3 linked regions of the Struthio camelus genome follow. The main gene of each other region encodes a partner of the protein of the gene in region 3 in a complex. Links are inferred from orthologs where the notes say so. Each region holds a gene or a part of one and is shown on either strand. Other genes may lie near its edges. The genes, in order: YBX1, IGF2BP1 and HNRNPU.

The links.
Region 1: HNRNPU (region 3) and YBX1 share a complex: the UniProt entries of both Homo sapiens proteins name them as parts of the coding region determinant (CRD)-mediated complex. The link is inferred for Struthio camelus from reciprocal best matches to the Homo sapiens genes HNRNPU and YBX1.
Region 2: HNRNPU (region 3) and IGF2BP1 share a complex: the UniProt entries of both Homo sapiens proteins name them as parts of the coding region determinant (CRD)-mediated complex. The link is inferred for Struthio camelus from reciprocal best matches to the Homo sapiens genes HNRNPU and IGF2BP1.

What each region holds. Positions count from the first base shown.
Region 1 is NC_090962.1:12,631,818-12,639,757, reverse strand, and holds the start of YBX1 (Y-box-binding protein 1), read left to right. Parts: upstream 1-4,875; 5' UTR 4,876-5,076; coding exon 5,077-5,233; intron 5,234-5,750; coding exon 5,751-5,814; intron 5,815-7,940. UniProt on the Homo sapiens protein: DNA- and RNA-binding protein involved in various processes, such as translational repression, RNA stabilization, mRNA splicing, DNA repair and transcription regulation.
Region 2 is NC_090966.1:5,262,775-5,269,725, reverse strand, and holds the start of IGF2BP1 (insulin-like growth factor 2 mRNA-binding protein 1), read left to right. Parts: upstream 1-3,867; 5' UTR 3,868-3,955; coding exon 3,956-4,130; intron 4,131-5,280; coding exon 5,281-5,341; intron 5,342-6,951. UniProt on the Homo sapiens protein: RNA-binding factor that recruits target transcripts to cytoplasmic protein-RNA complexes (mRNPs). This transcript 'caging' into mRNPs allows mRNA transport and transient storage.
Region 3 is NC_090944.1:99,222,055-99,229,806, forward strand, and holds the start of HNRNPU (heterogeneous nuclear ribonucleoprotein U), read right to left. Parts: upstream 3,039-7,752; 5' UTR 2,823-3,038; coding exon 2,075-2,822; intron 1,063-2,074; coding exon 951-1,062; intron 823-950; coding exon 749-822; intron 1-748. UniProt on the Homo sapiens protein: DNA- and RNA-binding protein involved in several cellular processes such as nuclear chromatin organization, telomere-length regulation, transcription, mRNA alternative splicing and stability, Xist-mediated transcriptional silencing and mitotic cell progression.

The sequences.
Region 1 (7,940 bases), on a different chromosome or scaffold from region 3:
CCCGCTGCCATAATAAAGGCTTTCAGATCTGCTGCGCATCAGATACTTGGGAGCTCCTTCTATTTGATGAAGTGACAATAGGGAATATAACCATTCCTCCATTTTCCTGTTGACTTTTGTGGCATCTATATGCTTCTGAAGATGGGAACAACATTAGTAACAGATGCCCTTGCAGATGGGTAGACCTGTGCTGCGGGGTAGAGTCTCCCGTAGGGTGGTCCCCTGGCCCAAACCTGTTGATCATTTCTATTCGGTGGTCCTGTATGTGACCTCTGGCTGATCGCCAACTTGCAACTGAAAAATCTACTTCATTTCTAGGTCTGAGGGCTGGTGCCACCTCGCTTGTTTTCTAGCCAGGTCTTGGGACCTGCCTTTCTGCACCCTGCTGCCTCTCACCTGCTTCAGACAGCTAAATCAGCTACTTGTCAAGCTCCTTTAAAAGCAGCAGGGAGAAACAGGCGCTGTTGGTTATAAGCCCCAAGGTAGATGCAGATGTCAGGAAGACTTCTGGGTACCCTAGGTCACATGGGCAAGTTTGACGTGAGCTACTACATGCAGCAAGTAGTACTCACTTGGAGCGGTACCCAGTGTCGCTGCACAGTCGCGCTGCTTGTAGGATGACTTAGGGACGGCTATCTAGCATTTCAGAGCTGTTTGTTCTGCTTTATTTCAGTGCTCCTTTGCTGGTGGTGAGGCCTGTGCCGGCTCTGAGCAGTTCCAGTCCCCCGCTGCCCCAGTCTTCTCTGCAGGCTAGACCCGCGTTCTTGACGTTCTCCTGAAATTATTTAATAATTGGCATCTATCATGTTTCCTTTTTGTTTTTTATACGTTGAAATGTAAATAAAGCATTTTGGTAAACGTGTGCAGCACAAGTCAGTTAACGTGCTTGGGAATGGACTCTTCTGGCTAGCAGGGCTTATAGCTTCTTTAGCCACGTGCGTTATCTCTGTTCAGTTCAGTAGGGGACGTTTCTCGTGTGTGGCATTGAGGGGCGTTGCTGCTGGGCGTTCACGAAATGGGAAGAAAGGGGTCTGAAGGGGTGAAAGGAGCATGGCAGAGCTGTGCTACACCAGCTCTTTTCCCACCAGGTAAATAAGGCTGCCTGGCAGAGAGGTTCGTGGTATCCCAGCAATCTTAGAGACCTTTTGCATTCAGCCTTCTCGAAGCACGAGAAATAGGTATGGCGCAAAGGCTTCAGCAGCACGAGCTTGCTGGGCTCTGTAGCGGTATAGAAAGCCAGAGGTGAGTTATGTTGTAAACAAGCATTTGTAAAACCTCCCCAGCATATCTCAGTGCTAGGCTGTGGGGATGATATGTTTTAGGGCATGTCTTTTAGCGGGGAGCACAACAGGTCTTTGGGCTGGGATCTGGGGAGTGATTATGCAGCAGGCGGAGAAATCTGGGCTCCTTGTTCCCCTTGGTGGCAGGGCTGCAGGCTGGTGGGAAAACTGCCTTCCTCCTCTCGGAGACCAGGGTTGCAAGCTCATCTCCCTGCTGCGGGATGAGCTTCGAGGTGAGTTTTCTCATCTGGCGGATTAAATATAAAGGAGCTTGGACAAAGTCTCTTTTGTCACGTGCAACGGCTCCAGCCCATCCTGATTTGCCTCGTCACTCCTTGGGCAGCAGTCTGCTTTATGGCCTTTGCCTAAGGTGTATTGTGCGGGAAGGAGCAGTCTGCACACTTGGCTTGTGCGTTGCTTGGGTGTATTAGATAGCAGGCAGTAATGTACCGGAGGACAGATCCTGCAGGCAAGCTTTGGCGTGCTCTTTTTATCTCCTGGCTATTTAAAGTCTTTGGAGCAGGCTCTGGCTGTCAGGATTTCCATGTCCCAATTCCTGGGATTGCTTGGCTGCAGAGGACGTTTGCCCTCCCTCCTCCCCAGCCCGAGTCATCTCACCTTCTCCTTCCTGTGGTACATCAGGGGATGAAGGAAACATAAAGCGTGCCATCCCTTTCCTCCCCAGGCCCAAACAAACGGCTTAGGGCTCTATCCTATGAGTTGAGGGTTTGAAATTCCCCACACGGAGGAGAAGACTGGGCCCAGATAATAGCTATGAGGTAGTGGTGGCTGAAAAGACATAAACTTACCCGTTGTTCCTGCTCAGGGAACGTGTTCAAACACCCCTTCCCCATGGGGTTGAGGCACGAGCTTAGCTCCAGGCTGCTCAGGGAGCTCTTTTCGCCAGCTGCAGTGCGGAGGGTCGCAGTTCTGGCTGTGGATACTCAAATTCACCGTGCTTTTTCACCAGGGAAACCAGCCTATTTCTGGGTCCAGGCTCAGCAGTGCTTTCACAGCCTGATGTATTTATATCGCTGTGATCAGCTAGTCTCACTTCCCGCATAGCGCTGGTCACAGGACTTCCCCAAATTAATATCCAGCAGTGGCAAATCCATCGCAACCTCTTTGGAAGTTGTTCCAGTGGTTAATTATATCCCCTGTTTACAATGCATGTCTGTCTGTGACTCAACGTGTCGAGCTTCAGCTTTCCAGCCTATGGATCTTGCTGTTCCTTATCTGCAGGTTGAAAGCGCTCTCAAATACCGCCGTTTCAGGTTTAATTCCCAGTGACAAAGTTGCCCTTCAGCCATGTCATGCTAAGCAAATCCTGGAATCTCTCGCTGTAGAGCAGATGTTTCCATCTTGTGATCACTCTTCTCTCTCTGAGCTCCAGCATCTTCCTTGAACTGTGGACAGAGCAGTCCACAGAGCAGTCCGGTTCTTTACTCATCTGAGGATCAGATTAACTTCTCGGTCCTGCAGTGTTGCCCCCCCAAAGACTGCCGTGTCCTGGAGTAAAGTCACTAGCCATTGGGAAGGCCACGTTTTCTTCTGTAGGTGCAAGGCCCTTGCATCCTTGCAGGCTTTATCATCGGGATTTGAAAACATCTTCCCAATCTTTGATAAAACTGATAAATAACTAACTAAATAAGAGTCCTTGTAGGGTCTCTTGCCTGGTGGACTCCCATTTGCCATTACGTTTTAAGACATGTTTTTTAATTGAATTACTAAGCATCATCCTGCTTTGATATCTTTCTAGTTTCTTAATCAGGGTCGTGACACTGAGGCAAATGCCCTGCAGAAGTGCTCTTAACGCTCTTCCCTGCCTTGGCAGAGCTGGAGATCTCACGGAGAAGATACCAAGTTGGTCTGATGAGATCTATGTCCGTAAACCCCCATCGGCTGGCGGCAATTATAGTGCTCTCTGCAAATCGTCCGTTAATCAAGGCCTGTATCAGCCGTCCCTTTATTTTGCCTGGGAATTGCCGTCAGACCGGCCTCTAATTACCCAGGTTTGTGGTACGTATGCACTGAGGTGCCCTCCCTGCCTCGCTCACGTTGTCTATGGAAGATTGCCGGCCATGCAGGGCAGCCTGAACCAGCGGGAGCAGTCGCGGGCTCCAGGTCCGCCCGTCGGACGTTTCAGGTCGAGCAGGCTCTTCGCTGAATCCTCGAGAGGCGAAGGCTGTGGGGCTCAGCGAGGGCGAAGCTGCCACGTGGCCAAGCAGAGAATTAATCCTCCCTTCAGGGTAACGTCTCCGCGGGAGATCGGCATCGCTAAGCGCTACCTTACCCGAGCCCCGCAGGCGGCTGTGGCGCAGCGTCGGCGGCCGCGGCCCCCGGCTCGTCCTTTTGGCCCTGGGATGGGGAAAGCCGATGCTGAAGGGTTGGTGCCGGGGGGATGCTCGGCGCACGAGGAGGCTCGTTTTCCCTGCACCTTCCTTTTGGAGAGTCCAACGGGTGCTTTCTGGGATCGCTCTGAGCCGCTGGAAGGCAAAGATTAGGGATGGAGACAAAACATGGTCATTTGAGCAAGGCTCCGTGAAGATAAAACACCCCACGCCGACGCTTTCCGCAGTCCCTGCCCGGCGAGGAGACTTTGGTGGGGGCGAGCTGATGCACGACCAGGTTTGAAGGGTGCGTCGGGCAGCTCCCGCCTTTCGGCGGGCGACGCCGGGCCCGTTTCCCCCCTCCTCGCCGCGGGAGCCGGCGAAGAGCTGCCGACCGCTGCCCGCCGCCTTCCCGCCGCGGGGCTCGAGACCGGGTCCACGGCGTCGCTTCGAACGCCGACCGCGGCGCTTTCGCAGTTCGTTATCCGGCAGCGCGGCGGTCCCTGGGAGCACGCTATTTCTCAGGAGGTTGGATTATAACGCTTTAACTGCATATAATTATATATTGAAAAAAGCTTTGTCGTGTCTCCAGATCCATTATTTTCTACTTTTAATTAACACTCGCAGGCTTGTTTCTTGAGACGACGACGACGATGATTATTTTTTTAATGGGAGCTGCCTGCCTCGGGGGAAAAGCTGGGATTGCATCTCGCTCTTGTAACAGGGCGGCAGGCGGGGGCAGCACGTCCGCTCACTTTGTCCCACATTTTTCAAGCGAGGCGAAATGCCACCGGTGCGTCCTTTGGAGCACGGTCCGGTGACATCCCGGGTCTGGGACCGGGGGCGACGGGCACCGACCGGGACCGGCACCGGGGACAGCGGACGGGGTCCGGGTCCGGGTCCCGGTGCCGGTCCGGGCAGGGGGCGCGGCGGCGGCGGCGGCGGCGGCGGCGGCGGCGGCGGGAGGCGCCCGCGGCCACGTGGTCTCGGGCACTTCCCCGGCCTGGCCGGGGGAGAGGGGCGGGAGCAACGGCGGAGCTGACCAATCCGCTTGCGGGGGCGGGTCCCGCCAGGGGGCTGGCAAGAAAAAGGAGCCTGGCAGCTCCGAGCCAGAGCAGCCAATGGGCTTGCGGCTTTGGTAAAGGGCAGGTGCTTCCCCCAATAGGAGCTTTAGCGCCGGCCGCGGGGTGGAGGGGAGAAGGCCAATGAGCTCGCGCGCTGCCGAACGGGCAGGCCGCTCGGCGAATGGCCGCGCTGGGGGGCGGGGCGTGCGGAGTGGCTAGCCGGTGCGGGCCGCCATTGTGGTCAGTTCGATCGGTATCGGGAGCGGAGAGCGGAGCTCAGCGAGCCCGGAGCAGGGAGCAGCCCCCCCCCCCCCCCAACGGCCGGCCTCAGTCACCATCACACCGCGGGAGGCGGCGCAAACAGCTAGTCACCACCACCGTCCGCACCGAACAGCCGCCGCCATGAGCAGCGAGGCCGAGACCCAGCCGCCCGCCGCCCCCGTCCCCGCGGCGGCCCCCGCCGCCCCCGCCGACTCCAAACCTAACGGCGGCACCGGGAACGGGGCCAGCGGCCTGGCCTCGGCGGCGCCTCCCGCCGGCGGGGACAAGAAGGTCATCGGTGAGGGGAGGGGTCCGCGGCGGCGGTGGGGAGGGAGGGCCTGGGCGGCGCGGCGCGGCCCCCCCCTTCCCCTCCCCCACCTTCTCCCCCCTCAGGGCGGCGCGAGCCCCTGCGCGCGCGCGCGCGGGCGCGGCCGTTGGGCGCCTCGCGCGCGGCCGTTGGGCGCCCCCCCCCCCTCCCCTCCCGCGCGCGCCGCCGGGCCCCGCGTGGCGGCGGCGGCGGCGGGTGGGGGCGGGAGGGGAGGGGCGGAGCGGGCGCGGAGCGACTCAAAATGTCCGCCACGCGGGGCCCTTTGTGTGAGACCCGCCCCGCCACGTGCCGCCGGCAGCGCCGGGCCGGGCCGGGCCTGCCCGCTCCGCTCCTCTCGGTTCGGCTCCAGCGGGCCGAGCGGATGGGGGGGGGGGCGGGAGGGAGGTGATGATGAGGGTAGTGAAGGGCGGGGGGGGGAAACCAAGCGAGGCCGCCGCGCCGGGCCTACCCGCAGCTTACGGCTCTTTCTCTCTGCCTCTTCTCGCAGCAACGAAGGTTTTGGGAACAGTGAAATGGTTCAACGTAAGGAACGGTTACGGCTTCATCAACAGGTGAGGCGGGTTTTGGTGGGGAGGGGGGGTTCTCCTTGAGGCCGCCGGGCTCGGCAGCTTGCTTGGAGTTTTGTTCCCCTCTGAGGGAGTTCTTGCTCTGGGAAACGGCTCTCCTGTCCCCGCTCCCCGCCCCGAGCACGCGCCCAGTTTGTTCTGGCGTTCCTTCCTAGGTGTTTAGCGCGGCGGGGCGGGGGGGGGAACTCTAACAAGAGCTCCCCTTGCCCCCACCAGCACCCCTGAGAAGTCCTAGGAGGGCAGCAGGGTTTCTTGCTGGAGTGTGTGGAGAGAGGGCTTTTTTTTTGTTTTTATTACTAGTGCTATTTTTTTCTTCAATGAGCGTTGCTTTGACTTGCCCTCTGGGCCAAGCAGACGTTGGACCCAAGATCAAGTGTACTTCTGAGTAACACGTGCGTGCTGCGCGTGGTTCATATCTGGTTGTTTTACGCTGGGGCACTAGGCTCGTATAACACCAGGGGCTGCAGATAAACACCTTTATCACTTCTAGTGCCTGCTTGGTGACACTTTCCAGGAGCAACTGATAAGGTGTGTCCTACCTCTGTTGCATGATCATTCACCCTTACTGTGTGTTTGTTTTGTTCTTTTTTTTTTTTTTAAAAGCACTTCAGCGAGGCTCTTACCAAAAGGGATGTAGTGGATTTGTTTTCGTAGTGCTACCTCTTATATTAAGTGTATGTGTGTTTTTTTTTCCTTTTTTCTATTAGAGTATAAAAATCAACTGATGTGCACAAAATATTTCTTTAGCTTCTGTATAGAGTTCAGTAACATCAATGCAAGCAATTGTTTGAGACACTAGGTAGTTGCTCTCTTGAGGGAACTCTGAATGCCTGGGGAAATGTGTAAAACTCATTCCTTATATCATGAAACTAGAGCATGTAAGAAATTCTCAAAAAAAAAAAAAAAGATGCCTAAAAGATTCAGCGATTGACTTGAGAATTTCAGTGCTTAGTTTGAGGTGTTTACCTGAACTCTTAACATAGCAGTGAGCTGTCTAGTGATGACTTGGCAGAGGTGTGCTAGAATTGCTCTACAAATCAGTTCTGGAAAAATGTAATGTTCTTCTACCAGTCTGGAGTGCTTCAGTGCGGTTTATTTTTTGGAGGCCATAATATTAAAAACTATTGTCCTTAAACACCTAATACCACTTCCTTCCTTTGGAGCGAAGCATCTATTAGAAACTTAATTAATGGGGTAAGCCACAAGATACCTGTAGTTCCTCCTATAGGTTGTTTTTGCCTTTCTAAACAGAGGGCTCTCGAATGAGAATAAGCGTTGCATGTAAGCTCTAGCAAGTTAAGACTGAAACAAGTTGAAAGATGTAATTAGAGCTGTGAGCCCTCAAAACAAATGTTTCAGAAATTGGCAAAAGACTTGGAAATCTTTACTCGGGGATGCAAGCAAAGGTATTGGGGATTTTATTGGGTTTTTTATTTAGATTTGCTTTAAGTATTGCCCTTTTAGCTCTCTGTGTTACTTTGTGACCCAGTCTTAAGTATCTACCAAGCTCCTTACTTGGTTTTGTGTCTGTAACTTTAAAAACTTGACTCTGAGTCTGCCCAGTTTAAGTTAAATGCATTCTTCATGTGTAGTTTGAATGTTAAGTATTGAACAGTTGTCAGTATTACGAGCTTTAGCATCTGTGACGTTTGTAACTGGCTATAAAGTCAAAGGGCACAAACTCTACCTCTAGGGAAGACTTTTTTCCTGTTCCACTCAGTGGTGGAAATGCTCAGTTATGTGAGTCAAGCAAGGAAGTAACAGCAGGTAGTTAAGACATCTGAATAGTTTTCCCACTCATATTAATTTGGCAGCTGTTTGATCCCTGAGGTTGCCATTTTAATGAGAAACCCAGCATGATCTCATGTTATCGAGAGATTAGAGCTGCAGTCTGAGAATTGAACTTGAGGACATTTCCACAGCTCAGGAATCTCTCTGGCTTGCTTTAAGGAAGACATTGCAAGAGCTCCTGATCTTGCTTGTCTTTGCCTCAACTGGGTCTGCTTGCAGATAAGTTCAGCTTGGATAGGGGTGCATATTAGCTTCAAATATTTCCTGTTGTCTTTTAATGTTAGAAGCGCGTTTCTATTCTGAAATGTTAGTTTAAATTC
Region 2 (6,951 bases), on a different chromosome or scaffold from region 3:
TCATCGGAGTATTTGCTTTGTTTGTAACTGAAGCACTAAAATGTTTAGGAAATATCCAAACGTCGAAGAAAGTTGCAGGTTTAACCGTTTGCAACGTCAGCTCTGCTGCTCTTGAGCCTCGCGCCCGGTGCTGGCAGAGGCGCCCCGGCCGGGAGCAGAGGGGCATTTCGCAGCCCGCCCGCAGCGCCTCGCTGGCGCGGCCGCTGCCCCGTCCTCCTCCGCCTCGACCAAGCCGCAGGCAGAAGCAAAAACCGCCCTGCAAGCGCGCAGGGAATCCGGGGATTGTCCCAAATCCAGCGCAATGCTGAATTTTGTTTCGAAGCAAACTGTTAATTTCCCAATCAGTTTGATTCTTAACAAATTTGGCAGCACAGCCTGGAATCGGCGGGACCTTCTCGGACGGGAGCTTCTTTTTTCCAGTGGTGAATGTTTTCCACATAATAAAAAGGGAACAAAAAGGGGTTTAAACTGTGATTCCACTTCACTAAGAGGAAATATTTCCCCACTGCATTGCTCGCTCTTCTTATTCTGTTGAATTCTCACCTGTGTTTTATGCTCAGGCTTGCTCTGAGCTCAGATGATTTCTGCTAGCTGAGAGCTAATTGAAACAGATTCTGCAAACATTAAATTCTTATTTTTTTGCTGTATGACCTATGTATTTTACCGAAAACTTTCAGCACACGTTTATTTGATAGTAATCAACAGATACTTTCAAACTCTTGAAACTGAAGAATTTCCAGAGTTTCTGGGGTTTTTAAATACACCTTTAATTTTCTTAAAATTAAACATAAGTGACAGCACTAGAGATTAAAAAAAAAAACAAATTAAAGAAAGATTCAAATGACAACTGGCAGAAAAATTACAGATTATAATCTGTTCTAGTTTACCACTAATCTGTCATAAAGATTATTTCTGTTTTAGGTATTTTCTGAGTCAGAGCACCAGCAGCACTTGAGCAGACGGCAGGAATTTCGCCCCTTTGTACGAAGCCCACGTTTCATTAAAACCTCAAACGCGCTGCTCGCCCCTCCCGTTCAACTTTGTACTCCAACCAATTTTTCTGAGCACCCACGCGGCAACAATCGCTTTTCTGAGTTGTGGAGAAATTGTCAGTTCTCTGTGAGCGCTTTCCTACCTGCTTCAGGGATTTATATCTAAGGGAAAAAACAACCAACCAACCTTTTGCCAAAATCAGATCTTACGTCTAAAGTCAGGAATAAATTTATGCCGACGCCGGAGCGGGACACCGTTTGTAAGCCCACGCGAAGCGGCCAGCCGCTCGGAGCGATTTCGCCAAGAAATTTAAGGAAATCCTGGGGAAGGGAGAAGGCCACGCAGGCTCCCCGAGCTGACAGCATCCCGGGGGAAACTGCAGCTTAGCAGCGCCCGGGCTGCAGCGCTCCTGACCGGTTGGGGCTCGGCAGCTGCTGCCGAGCCTGACGTCTGCAGGAGCAGCGCGGTCGCCCTTGCGGGGGGCTCGGCGAGCCCCAGCTGCCGGGGGCGGGGGGCCCGGCCGGGCAGCCCCCTCCCACCCTGCCCCAGCCGTGAACGGGGTTGGGGGGGGGCAGCAAATCAATGATGGAGCCTCTGCTGTTTGCATTCCCTAAATACCTTGCATCTGGAACGCTCCACCGAGGGGAAGGAGCTTGACTGATAGTCTTTCTTGTTTCAGACCTAAATTGAAGACTTCCCTCTTTGTTTGGTGCTTTTTTTTTTTTTTAAGGCTGGTTTCCTTGATTTCATTATTGCAAAGGGTTATGTTACACGGGCAAGGTGCTCGGTTAACCAATAAACAGCGGCAACAGCAGTATTAGGGTCAAGATTAGAAACAGAGGCGAGGCAGATAGGGGCTCATTTATTTTGACTTGTTTGCCCGCGACGCGCAGCGCGGTGGAAGCCCGTGAACGTCCCAGGTTTCAGCCCGCGAGGGTGCGAAGCGCGCTGTCTGAGCTGCAGGAGATTTATTTCCAAATTGCATCGCTCTCTCCTTTTCGTCTGTGACTTTTGAGCGTGGGTGACACGCCGGAAGCCTTAGAAACCTGCCCGTGGACACAGAAAGCCTCCTCTGGCTGCGCCGGTTTGGTACTTCTAGGAGAGCCAAATAACGCAGCTGGAAGGATGGAAACCAGACTTGCCCTGGTGAGCAGCATCCACACGCTGCAGGAGCAGCGTAGCAGAGAGCGGTTCAGAGCCGGGAGGGAAAGCGGACTGCTCCGGGCTTTAAATGAGCGTTTGGCAGAGGGGTTTTTTTTTTTTTTGCCGTTCGCGTGAACGAGACGCCCGGGGGGGCTGCAGCGCAGGCGGGCGTCCGGGGCTACGCGCGCCTGCTTCCTCGGACCCGCGCAACTCGCCCATTTCTGAGCGACCTCGGCTTTATTTACTAACAAACCCTCCACGCAGCTGAGCAAGGGGCGGGGGGCGGGGGGGGGGAAGAAAGAAAAAAAAAATCGAAAATAAAAAAAAATATCGGAGACGTAACCGGGCGCCCCGCGGAGGGGGGAAGGGAGCGCGGCAGCGCCGCTGCCCCCCCGCGCCGGGCGCGCCCTCCGCGGGGCTCTCCCGGCGCCGGAACAGCGCGCACGCCTTGCGGGAATTTTAATATATAGATATATATTTTTTTGGGGGGGGGGTGGTGCCCCCCGTCTGGGCCGCCCAGCACGTGGGAGCGAGCTGCCTTGCTGCGCGTTTTCATCGGGAGCGCGGAAAGGCCGGACGGAGCCTCCGCGGCGGCGGCGGGGGGAGCCGGGGCCGCCCCTGCCCGCCGCCGCGCTGCCGAGCCGCCCGCCCCGTCGGGGGGAAGGCAGGAAGGAGGCTGGGGGCGGAGGACGGTAGCGGGGGGGATGGGGAGGGAGGGGGGGGGGCTCGCTGCTATTTTCAACCCATCTCGAGCCTAAAAATAAAAAGTCTCCAGAAAAGGCTAGGCGGGGAGGGAAGGGGGGGGGCTGCCCCGCACACGCCGCTTTGCCGTCGGGGAAAGGCCCTGCCCCAGCGCGGGGCCCTTTTGTGCCGGGAGGAGCCATCCCCCCCCCCCTCCTTCCCCGCAGCCCGGGGGCTTCCGCGGGGCCGCGCACCAAGCGCTTAAAACAATGCCGGGGCCCATCCTCCCGCCGGGGGCGCGCAGCCCCGGGGGGGCGGCCCGCCCCCCCCCCCAGCCCTGGCGCCAGGGGACCCTCGCGGCCCCTTTGATACTGAAGTTGTTTTTTTTTTTTTTTTTTTTACACCCAGAAAAATCCCATTGAGGCACCGGGGGCCGGCGTGGGGGGGGGAGGGGCGCCGGGGGGGAGGGGCGCGGTGGGGGCGGGGGGCTGCAGCAGCAGATGGCAAAAGTGCCTCCGACGGGACGGCGCTGGGGAGGGGTGCGGGGTGGGTGCGCACCCCTCCCCGCAGGGTGGTGGTGGGGGGGGTGGAGGTAAATACCGTAGTATTTAAATTAAAATAAATAAATAAGTGGCGGCGGCTGGGCCCCCTCCCCCCCGGCCCCTCCCCCCGGGGGCCGGGCCCTCCCGCATCACCACGTGGCTTCCTCCAGCAAACATTTTCACTCATTTTCCAGGTCGGTTTTATTTAGAGGCGGTGCCCGGCTGCCGAGAGGCGTCCGGTGACACTCGAGTGCCACTCGGCCGACTTGGGGGCCCCCGGAGCCGGCGCCGCCGCCCGTCGGAGCAGCGCGCCCCGCCGCCGCGCCCCCCACCTCCCCCCGGCTTGCTTTCCTTTCCCCCCCCCCCCCCCCCCGCACCGGGAAATAATCCCCCCTGGATTATTAACCAAAAAAAAAAAAAAAAAAGAGGGAGAGAGGGGGAGGGAAACCCCCCCCCCCCCGCAGCCCCGAAGGCGCCCGGCGGCGGGGCGGCAGCGCGCGGCCGGAGCCCGACGGCGCGGGCGCTCGGTGGAGGCGCCCGGCGAGGCGCGCTGCGAGCCCGGCCGCCCCCCCCCCCCGCCGCCGCCCCCCGCCACCATGAACAAGCTCTACATCGGCAACCTCAACGAGAGCGTCACCGCCGCCGACTTGGAGAAAGTCTTCAACGAGCACAAGATCTCCTTCAGCGGGCAGTTCCTGGTCAAGTCCGGCTATGCCTTTGTGGACTGCCCCGACGAGCAGTGGGCCATGAAAGCCATCGAAACTTTTTCGGGTAAGCGGCCTCGCCCCCCTCCCCTCTCTCCCCTTTCCCCCCCCCCCCACCCGCTTGCTGCCCCCCTTCCCCGACCCCGCATCCTGCCGCCGGGCAGCCCCTTGTTCCCCCTCCCCCCGACGGCGCTTGCATCAGCGCGGGGGCCCCCGCAGGCTGGGGAGGGGGGGGGGCGACCCCCTTTTCTCCACCCAAAAGCAGCTAGCGGAAGGGTGAAACGAGGCGGGGGCCTCTCCCTGCCCACCCCCCCCCCACACACACCCACCCCGGCCGGGCCCCCGTGGGCGCCCCCGGGCCGGGCGCGGCGGCGGCGGCGGCAGCGCGGCGCCCGCCCCGCCGGGGCTCGGCCCGGGGGTCCCGGCGGCAGCGCGGGCGGTGGGCTGGGACTTTGGCCATTTTGATTTGAAACTGCCTTGGCTGGGGCATGTGATGCGCGGAGTAGCGCGAAGGTCGCCATGCTGCTCGCACGGAGAGAAAAAGCTCCCGGGGAAGCAGCTCGGCTCTTTATTATTATTATCATTATTTTTATTTTTTTTGAAATTTCGATTTTTTCTTCCTCCTTTTTTTCTTTCCCCCCCCTCCCCCCGCCCAGCTCTCCCGCCGAGCTCTTCCCATACCCGAGCCCCTCTCCCCAACCCCCCCTCCCTCCCCCGCCCCAAATAAACCAGCCGCAAAGAAACCACCCCGTTTTTCAAAAGCGAGAGATCCGTTTCTGCCGTGAACGACTCGGAGCCTTTGGGTGGGGAGGGGAGAAGGGGAAAGGGGGGGGGGAAGGAAAAAAAACCCCAAACACCCCTAAAACGAGGAATTCCGCGGGAATTCAACACGAGGCTTTGAATAAAGGCGAAGAAATCCCTCTCCGAATATCCCTCTCCGTTTTCTCCCGCGCGGAGCGGAGCGGAGCGGTGGGAAGGGGGCAACGGGGTGTCCAGGCGGCCGCTGGCCGCCCCCTCCCGCCGGGCTCCCGCCCCATACAACGCGCCCGCGGGGCAGCCGGCGGCCGTGTTTGCGTGTAGATCCCCGTAAATTCGGAATGAAAACGAAAGGTTTCACGTGGTAGCATGTTCTCCAGGGCTTTTATTTGTTGCCCCCCCCCATTGTAAAAAAAAAAAAAAAGAAAAGAAAAAAAAACCCAGACACATTTTGTTTTTAGGGAAAGTGGAGCTTCATGGAAAGCAGCTAGAGATTGAACATTCAGTGCCTAAAAAGCAAAGGTAATACAGCGTTTTATTTTCTTTTGTTAATTTTTTTTTCTTTGCTGTTGGGGAGGGGGGAAAGGAGAAAAAAAAAAAAAAGGCCGTAAGATAAAGGAGACAAAAAAAAATATCCCCAAATATGTGCATGTGAAAGGAGATATGTTGGCGATTTGGCTCCCGATCCGTCCTCTGCGAGGTGGGAGTCAGCGTGCAGGATCAATGTTGAAATTTCCTTCCTTTTTTTTCTTTTTTTTTTTTTTTTGAAGTTAACTCTGAGAGCAAGTTTAAACCCTAGCCGAAACAATGACCCCGCCGCTCGCTCGCCCAAGCTCGGGCACGGCCGAGGCGGTTTTGGGGTCTGGGTTTGCAAACTTGTGCAGCCGGGCGCGTTTCCGCAGCTTGCCCCTCTCCTTCGCTGGGAAGCGCCTGCCTTTTGTTTTCCGCTTTAGTTTAAAAAAAAAAAAAATTAAAAAAAAGAAGAAAGGCCAGGGGGAAACGTGCTGGTGGGACTGGCGAGGCCGGGCGAGGCGGGGGGCCCGGGCTGGGCCCAGCTCCGCGCAGCCCCTCGCCTCTGCCCCGGGCTCACGTGCCCGGCCTGGGCCTCCGGCCTCGCCGCGCTCTTGGCCCTTTGTTGTGTGCTTGGGGGGGGGGGCTGCCAGCCGTTTTGGGGCAGGAATGCTGAAAAAGAGAAATAAAGAATAAATCCCCCCTCCTTTTTTTTTATTTGGGGGGGGGAGGGGAGTACCCCCAACCGAACGCCCCGCGCCAGGGAGCAGGCGAGCGGCTGGCCCAGCCGACTCGTCCACGTTGGATGGCGCGGGCCCCGGGACCCCCGGGTCCACGTGACGAGGCGCTTACCTCAGCGGCGGGGCCGGCAGGGAGGAGGCCGAGCCCAGCAAACTCCTTCTCCCTCAACTCTTTGCTGCTTCCCTCCGATTGACCAAAAAAAAAAAAATTTATATATATAAATATATATATATATATATATATATCCCCCGGCGTGATCACGGGGGAGTCCATTTTCCTGGTGCGGGCTGGGCCTTGCCGCGGCTGCCGCCAGGCCTTGGCCTTCACAACTTTGCCCCAAACCCTCCCTCGGAGCTGGGGGTCAGGGAGGGGGAAAGGTTTTGGGAGGGGGGGGGAGGCTAAAAGCCCCTCGGCCTCCAACCCCGGGGTCCGGCTCGTTTAACTCGAAGCCCCAACTCCATCCCGTAATTTTGCCTCTGGAAAGATTTGGGAGCGACGGGACCTGCCTGGCGCCGAGCTGATCGATATTGCTCCTTACGGCGGCCGACACCTCGCCGTGGCTTAAATATCCCGGAGCGGAGCGGTGTTGTGGGAAAGGCGGTGACGGCGCGGAGGGGACGGGGGTGACGCTGGGCCAAGGGGGCCTCACCGTTCCCCCCCTCCCCGTAGCCTGGCTCCATGATCGATAGCTTGGGCCGAAGGGAGCGGATTTCACCGTCTTGCCTGCTCCGCTCTGCCCTGCCCTGACTTTTCTCCCCCTGCGTTATTAGGAAATTATCTCGAAATGTAAATATTTCTTTGGAGGCTGCAGTTCCCCTCCCTCTCCTTCCCCCCCCTCCCAAATATCCACCCGCCGCCCTGTTGTCCAAACTCCACGGTAG
Region 3 (7,752 bases):
ATTCAAGTGCAGTAATTCTGCAGTAACTGCTTATACTTACCCTCAAAGATAAGTTAGTCCAAATCATGCTGTACCACAATAATAGTAACATTTATAATCTGCTTCAAAAAACAGTTTGTATGTAGTTCTCAATTTCTATGCCCTTTGGACCAGTTCTCTCTGCCATGCCATTTGCATATACCATCTACCCCCCCCAACCTCGCAGACTGCATGAATGCAGCATTTTCCAGGAGCTTTCTGCTGATTTCTTCTCAAGTTTATTAGAAATCAAAAAATATACTGCATTAGTTTGCATGTAACTAGGGCCTCAGCAAGTTATGCAGGAAACTTACCCCACAGACTGTACTACCTTAGCCCTCTGTTTATTCCTGAAACTTATCGAAGTAAAACATTCACGTGATATAAAATTAGTTTCTCACGACTCAAGCTCCCAAGCTGTTTCTAGCATGATCTACGTTCACTGCACGCTTGCACAGCTTAGTTTATGTACCAGGTTAGTGTTTTGGTTAAGATTTCTTCAGAAAACGATATGATATTACGTTATTTCTTGGGAAAGCCAAGCTTATAATTGCTAATAAAGACCCAGGCATCCTTTTGTTGTTTCGTTATACTGAAAAGTAAAGGGCTAATCTTGCTGTTTCTTAGTAATAACGATCAATGGATCTGCCCTACATTTCAGAAAGCATAGTTTTAAGTTTAAAAGCATACCACTACACCTTCTAGAGCGCAGGAAAGCATGTTTACTCACAAGTATCAAGACAAACCACTGTGTCATCAAAATGCTCATCTTCTTCTTCAACAGGTGGTTGAGGGGACTTAGCCCTGGCGAGGGAGGAGGAAAAAGAAGAGAATAAAAAATTAAAGTTGGAAGCATTTTAGTAGGGGTATAGGAAATACTTCCTACAGCTTCTCATTCGCAAAATCTTGTCCAGCATCAAAAGTTTCTTTACCTGCTGTACTTATTTTCTTCAATGTATTCAAAATACCCACGGCCATGATCTTCACGTGGTCTCTTCACACCCCTCTTTTTCTCACCAGGTTTTTGTTCTGTTTTAGCATCTCCTGTAACAGAGTTAACAATTTATTTTAGCAACGCAATGTAACTCTGCTGGGAATAAAACCATCCATAACGTTTCCAACTTTGGAAACTGAACGAAAACCCTCAGGAACTGAAAAGCAACAGCATCTTGGCAGACTTTTTTGTGTTGCTCCAAGACAAAAAGCTTGCATCTCCGCATCTGGCACGGTCCTCGATGTTAAGAGAAGACGCCCAGAGAAAAGCCATCCCGCTCTCACGCGGTGAAAAAGAACGGCCAAGAAGGCGCCCGCGCTCTCACCCGCGCCGAGCAGGACACTCCCGGGCGCTCACAAGGACGCCGAGCGCTCCGCACGAGTGCGCCGCCTCCCGGCAGGCCGAGCGCGGCGGGCGGGAGCCCCCGCGCGGGGCCGCCCGGCCGCCTGCAGGGAAGGGATTCCGCCTCCTCCCGCCTCCATTGTACCAGGCCTTCCAAACGCGATCCCGTGGAGCACCCAGACCGGAAGTGACGTCACGCCGCCGAGCGCTCCTTTGCACAATACAGCGCGCCCCAGCGGCCCCTCCGGAGGGGCCGCCCCTCCCCCCGCGCGGCCGGCGCAGCGGCCCCTTCCCCTCACCCCCCGCGCGCCTCCACTCCACCCCCCTCGCGCAACGGCCCCTCCTCCTCCTCCAGCCGCCCCGCGCAACGGCCCCCTCTCGAGAACCCCTCTCCCCCGCCCGCGGCCCAGCGCAGCCGCCTGGCGAGGAGCACGCGGTGCGGGGGGGGGGGGGGGGCGGCGCCGCCGCCGGTGTGTGTGTGTGTGGGGGGGGGAAGACTGGAAACCCCCTCGGGGACACCGCCCCCCCTCCCCCCCCCCGGCGCGGGAGGCGCCGCCGTCGCGCCGGCCGCGAACGCCCTCCCGCGCGCACCCCGGAAACCGCCCTCTTGGCCGTTGCCCGCCCGCCCGCCCCCCCCGCCGCGGGGGGGGGGGATTAACGGCCTTTCTTTCCCCCTCCGCCCCCCCCCCCCTTTCCGCCGAAGGCGTCGCGCAAACTCACCCCCGGCGGCCTGAGCCCCGGGGCGGCCGCCACCACCGCCACCTTCCGCTTTCTTCTGCTGCTGCTGCTGCTTAGCGGGGCCCGCCGAGCCGGCGGGGGCCGCCGCCGCCGCCGGGGGCCCCGAGGCGCCGCCGGTGCTTTTGCCGGGCGCTTCCTTGGCGGCCCCGCGCGGCTGGAGGAGCGGCGGGGGCTGTTGCTGCTGCTGCTGTTGCTGCTGGGGCTGCGGCTGCTGCTCGCCATGCCCGTTGGCGTCTCCGGCCGCGGCCTCTTCCTCGTCGGCGAGCTCGTCCTCCCCCTCTTGGAAACCCTGGTCGTCTCCGTTCTCATCCTCCTCCTCCTCCTCTTCCTCCTCCTCGCCGCCCGCCTCCTCTTCCATGGGGCCGCCCCCGGCCCCCGCCCGCTCGCCGTTCTCCTCGCCCAGCTCCATGGCGTCGCCATCGGCGGCCTCCAGCCCTTCCTCGTCGTCGTCCTCCGCGGTGGAGGCCGCGGCCTGGTCGGGGCCTCCTCCTTGGTGGAGCTGCGAGGCGCCCCCGCCGCTCTCGGCTGCCTCCCCCTCCATGCTGCCGTTGCCAGGCTCAACTGCGCTGCTGGCGGGGCCTCCCCCGCCGGCCTCCTCCTGGTCTAGCGCGGCCTGGAGCCGCTCCATGAGCTCGGCCTTGAGGCCCTTGTCGGAGAGGCGCCGCTTTTTCAGCTCCTCCTTCAGCTCCGACACCTTCAGCTTCTTCACGTTCACGGGCGAGCAGCTCATGGCGGCGGCGGCTCGGTCCCTGGGCGGCGCGCAGGCGACTCTGGGCTCGGGCGGACGGCGGCGGCGGCTCTGGGTCGAGGCCCCGGTGGGAGGCGGTGGGTGGGTGGCGCGGCTGGTTCGTGCGGCTGCGGCAGCTGCAGAGCGGACCCGCCTGGCGCCAAATCCTTTCACCGAGCTCGCGAGGGAGACGCGCCTCGCGGGGCCGAGCACGCAGCACTGCCCGCCCCGCCCCCGCGCACGTAGGCCCTCCTCCCCCCGCTACCGTAACGGCCGCCGCACGCACCGCCGCTACCGTAAATACCGGCCCGAGCGCAGCACCTCTGCGCGCCCCCCGGCGCCTCTCCCGCGCGGGGCGCCGTGCGCTGGGGCCGCCCCCGCCGGCACCCGGAGCCGGACCCGAGCTCGGGGCGGCAGGAGGGGCCCTGGCAGCCCGGGCTGGTCGCGTCTACGCGGCGGAGTTACGGGAAAGGAAAAGTTGCCTCTGCCGGCATAAGCCCCTCCGCGCCGACAGCTGTACCTGCGCCATGTTGGGCCAGGCGGCGGCAGGAAGCCCGGCGAGACGCCCCGCTGCCGCCCGCTCGCTTTCGGCAAAATACGCCATTCCGGACGGGAAACCGGCCCCAGCGGGACCCCGCCAGGCCTCCGCTCTTCCCTCGGTGCAAGATGAGGCCTGAGCAAGGCCCCAGATAGACCCCCCCCCCCGGCGGCCCCTTCCCCCCCGCTGCGGGCACCCTCCGCAGGCCCGGCCGGCGCGCTGCGCCGCGCGGAAAAGGGGTTGAAAATTCAGTTTCAACTGAAAGTGGAAACAGTCCTTCTCAAAATAGTCGCACTGGTACAACCCTGTTAGCACAGTTACATAAGGACAAAAGTAGAGCTATAACAGCAATTTCTTCACAGGCTACGGCATGCGCCAGCCTGACCGGTAACTAGACCGAGTGGCTCCACAAGCCACAGGGCTAACTTAAGGTTTTCAAGTGCGTTAACTCTCCGTCAGACAAGCAACGCTCGTCTGCAGCTTAGTGCAGAGCTAGCTGACCAGGTAACCAACTGCAAGCAAACTGCTGTTGCTCCCAGCTTTGCTGCTCCAGAGCATTCATGTAGGTCTCCTCTCTGTTCTGCCACCAAGCTGTGCACCCACTGAATTTTTCCAATATGGTCCAAAGCTACTGGAGCAGAAACAGCAGAGAGCAGCGCAGATGAACAGGAGGTTAGCATTAGTAGACAAGTCTGGTTCCTTAGGAAGCCCTAGTAAAAAGTTAATTTTCACTTGCTTTTAGAAATTTTAAAAAGAGGCAAGTTGAACAACTAAAGATTGTTAAAAAGCCCTATTGTAGGGAAGGTGTACTGACATGAAGTTGCCTTGTACTGGAGCAGGTCACATGGCCTTCTAAACCAGAAGAAATTATTTAAGTTCACCTGCCTTCAGGAAAAGGGAGGAGAGACAAGGAAGTCGCACTGTTTTTAACTATACAAGGAAAGTTAAACAGTCCCTTAAGCACATGCATGCACTCTGTCCTCTCCAGCCAAGCTGAATCCACTCAGAGGAAACACGACTCAATCTGCAAGGTTAGCTCAACCCTTCACTGCACTAAGTCTTGTTGGAACAGAGACAGCAAGAATTCCCTCATGCAATATGTACAGCTTAGAAAAAGGTTATCACAACCTTTTCCTTATATAAATGCAAGTTAGTAGATTTTCCTCAGTTGAGGAGGTCACAGTCATCTAAATAGGGGGAAAAAAGGAGATTTAAAAAAAGTGCATCAGTACTAAGGAGAGGTCAATGCATGATCAAGCTGCACTGGTATAAATTACCTTTGTGCATTTCTTCATGTAAGAGCTATCTAAACTAGTCTGCTGAGGTAACAGTGATATATATTCCCATGGAGGGGAACAAAGTGTAAACAGGGCTTACCTAGTTAATATTACAAGATTACTTACTGGAGTTTACAGACAACTCTACAATAAGGTAGATGTCTTTTGCTTCTCCCACCTCTATGCTCTTTTGTGAACTTTAAATTTAAAATTTTTAAACAAAACACACACTGAGTCTTTTCGATTTGTAGTGCGTCTGAACCTGAGGCAGAGCCCTACATTTAAACCTTGATCTGGTACAGTCTTCATCACATGAGGAGCCATGTTTGCAGAACTTCATCAGCCTAGTCCAATAATCCTACCAGCGCAAACTTTATGGCTTAGATCCTTTCAGCCTTTTTTGATCCTTGAATGTTGCCTTGAATTAGCACATCTGCACACATTTACAGCACTTGTGTTAAAAACTGCCCTTGTTCAGAATCATCTTAGAGCTGCAGTCCTCACATGTAATCCCCTTCCTAAACAATGTCATGTCTGCCTACTTCAGTAACATGCTCATACAGCTTTATACTGCTGTTACCATGGAGAAACAAAACAGCTAACGACTTTGAGGCACATCAAGAGATTACTTACTTACCCCAAAGCACTCAAGCCTGTATATAAAGGCTCGAGTACATAAAATAAGAATTGTAATTTGTTTTGAGCATTAAAATAGAGGCTCACTATTTTTTTGCCCCAGAAATTTTTTAACACCAACCTGAAAAGGCTCCTCTCCCCTTTAAACTATTTAGAAGGCTGAACTTTTGTTTTAGGGGATTAATGCATACCATAGCAGTAAGTACATGGTTGTATAGTACCATTAGTTACACTATCAAACAGATAGTCACAAATGTAGTAAGGCCATGCCTTCGGTCTACAGAGTGCTGCTACCCGTTATTATAAAATGGGGAGATCCCAGCTGATTTTTAAATATCAAGTGATTTAATTGTGGTGAGAATGGCTTTTCTCTGAAAACTAAGCACATACAATACGCACATAACTGAAACAGGCATGCAACCTTATGACTGATTTCCATGGTAAAAGCAATTTAAGTTTTCTGCTGTGTATGTTAAATACATGTTGTTTACACAAATGCCCCAGTTTGGGGAAAACAAAGAGTTCACTTGTCCTCCCTGAGTCCTGAGTTCAGCGGTGTGACTCTTCCCCATTCCTACTTTAAGGGGGCAGGGGAAGAAGTTAAGGGAATATGCTTTCTCCATTGCTGTGCCTTTCCTTAATTCAGATAACAGTTCCTTCAACTCAGCTTTTCATAGATCACGCAGATACCAGCCACATCATAAAAATAAACATTTAGTCATATGAACTCCTGAAACATGAAAGTTCAAATTAAGCACTTCAGCTTTAATTTGCAAAGCTACCACTTGTGCAATAGTGACAGCCATAATAAATACCTAGCATCATTGCTGATAACCACAAATTGTCTTGCCTTAAATTACCCTTTCTTTGGTCTCAAAATATCCCCAAAATCTTAAATAAAACAAAAAACCCTCCATTTAATTGGAAAGTGGCATCTACCCATAAACAACACGTAGTCCCGTCTGCTTTCTTTGTACTTATTTATCCATCATACAGTATTTTCCTCATACCTCTGTTACATCTTCAGAAAGTTAAAATATCTTTCACTCCAAACCAGTCTCCCCTAAAAAAAGTAATTTGGGATCCTCTCAATCCGCAGCTCTCCCCTTCTAATCAGTTACTGTAGTCCCTCTAATTTTTATTTATACTTTTTCAGATTTTAGCTAGCCAACCTTCGCCTCTCACCCCTAATGTTCTTCCCATTAGTCACTGCTGGTCTTTCCAAGCCCCTCTCCTGCGTGCCAAGAATGGTCAGCCCTTCCCCAACCGCTGCCTCCTTTCCTGCAACGGTTCTTTTCTCTCCTGGATAGGAGATGTGGATGTCTTTCCAAGGGGTGACAAGAAGGGCAGGCTTTCACAGAGGGACCAGATGGTCCCAGGGGCCCATCCTGCCTGGGCTTTTGTCTGATTCTGCAGGTGCACAACACAGAGCCCATTCCTTCCTGGGAGGAGCTCAGAGGGATGTCGAGATCAGTTGTGCCAACTGCTGCAAGGACTGGCCTGGCATCTTCAGACTACCTCTAAGTTGCAGGGAATTGTCTCTTACCGCAAGCACAAAGACAAATCTATGTTTATATCACACTACTCAAATAGCAGTGATTCCCTGAAGATGAGATAGCTATTTAAACCTTTTCTTACACCTTCAACGTTGCAGAAGGACACAAACATTTATCTTTTCCTAGGTTTGCTCTCTTTCAGCCTTGTCTATCCTTTTCTGGCTGTTCTTCTCGTGCTTTACTTTCCTTCTGACCATCGCAATAGACTCCTTGGTCTCTTCTGTATATCCTCAGTCTCTCCACCCTCAATTAACACTGCCTTCAGAGTTTGACATCCAACATACCATTACTTTAAAAAGAGAGTATTATTCTTGAAATACTCGGCTGCCTTTTATGATAGCAGGGAGCACGTGAAGTAAGTCTTTTTCTCTAAGTCTCCTCATGAAATCCTCATTAATCATTATTAGGGCTGGTCAAAAAAATCCAGACATTTTTAAATGCTAATTTATCACAAATGTTTGATGGTGAAGGATCAATTTTGATGATTGTTCATTTCCCCCCCCCCCACTATACACACACATATATGTACACACAAATAAATACAAAGATATACACACATGCATGTGCACGTGTGCGTTACATGTACACATCTGAAATACAAATGCCAGGAGGCTGGGAGTGTCTTTCTCAGGAAGTCTCTGCCTACTTGCCCTGAACAGCTTGTCCCATGGCATTCACTACTGCTTACTATCAGAGTCAGTTTGTAAAGATAGCTGGGCCTTGCCTTATCCTATCTACAACCTCTCCATGATATTTTAAGATCAAGTAAGGTCTAATCCACCTCACAAGTAAGAAGGCCATTTGCAGTAAGGCCTACTTGAAGAGGAACTAAATCCTTATTTCATAAAGATGTTTAGTGCCCGATTTCAAGTAAAGCTAACAGTATTCAAGGGACTTAAATTCAGATTTCCGGCATTGTTTGGAAC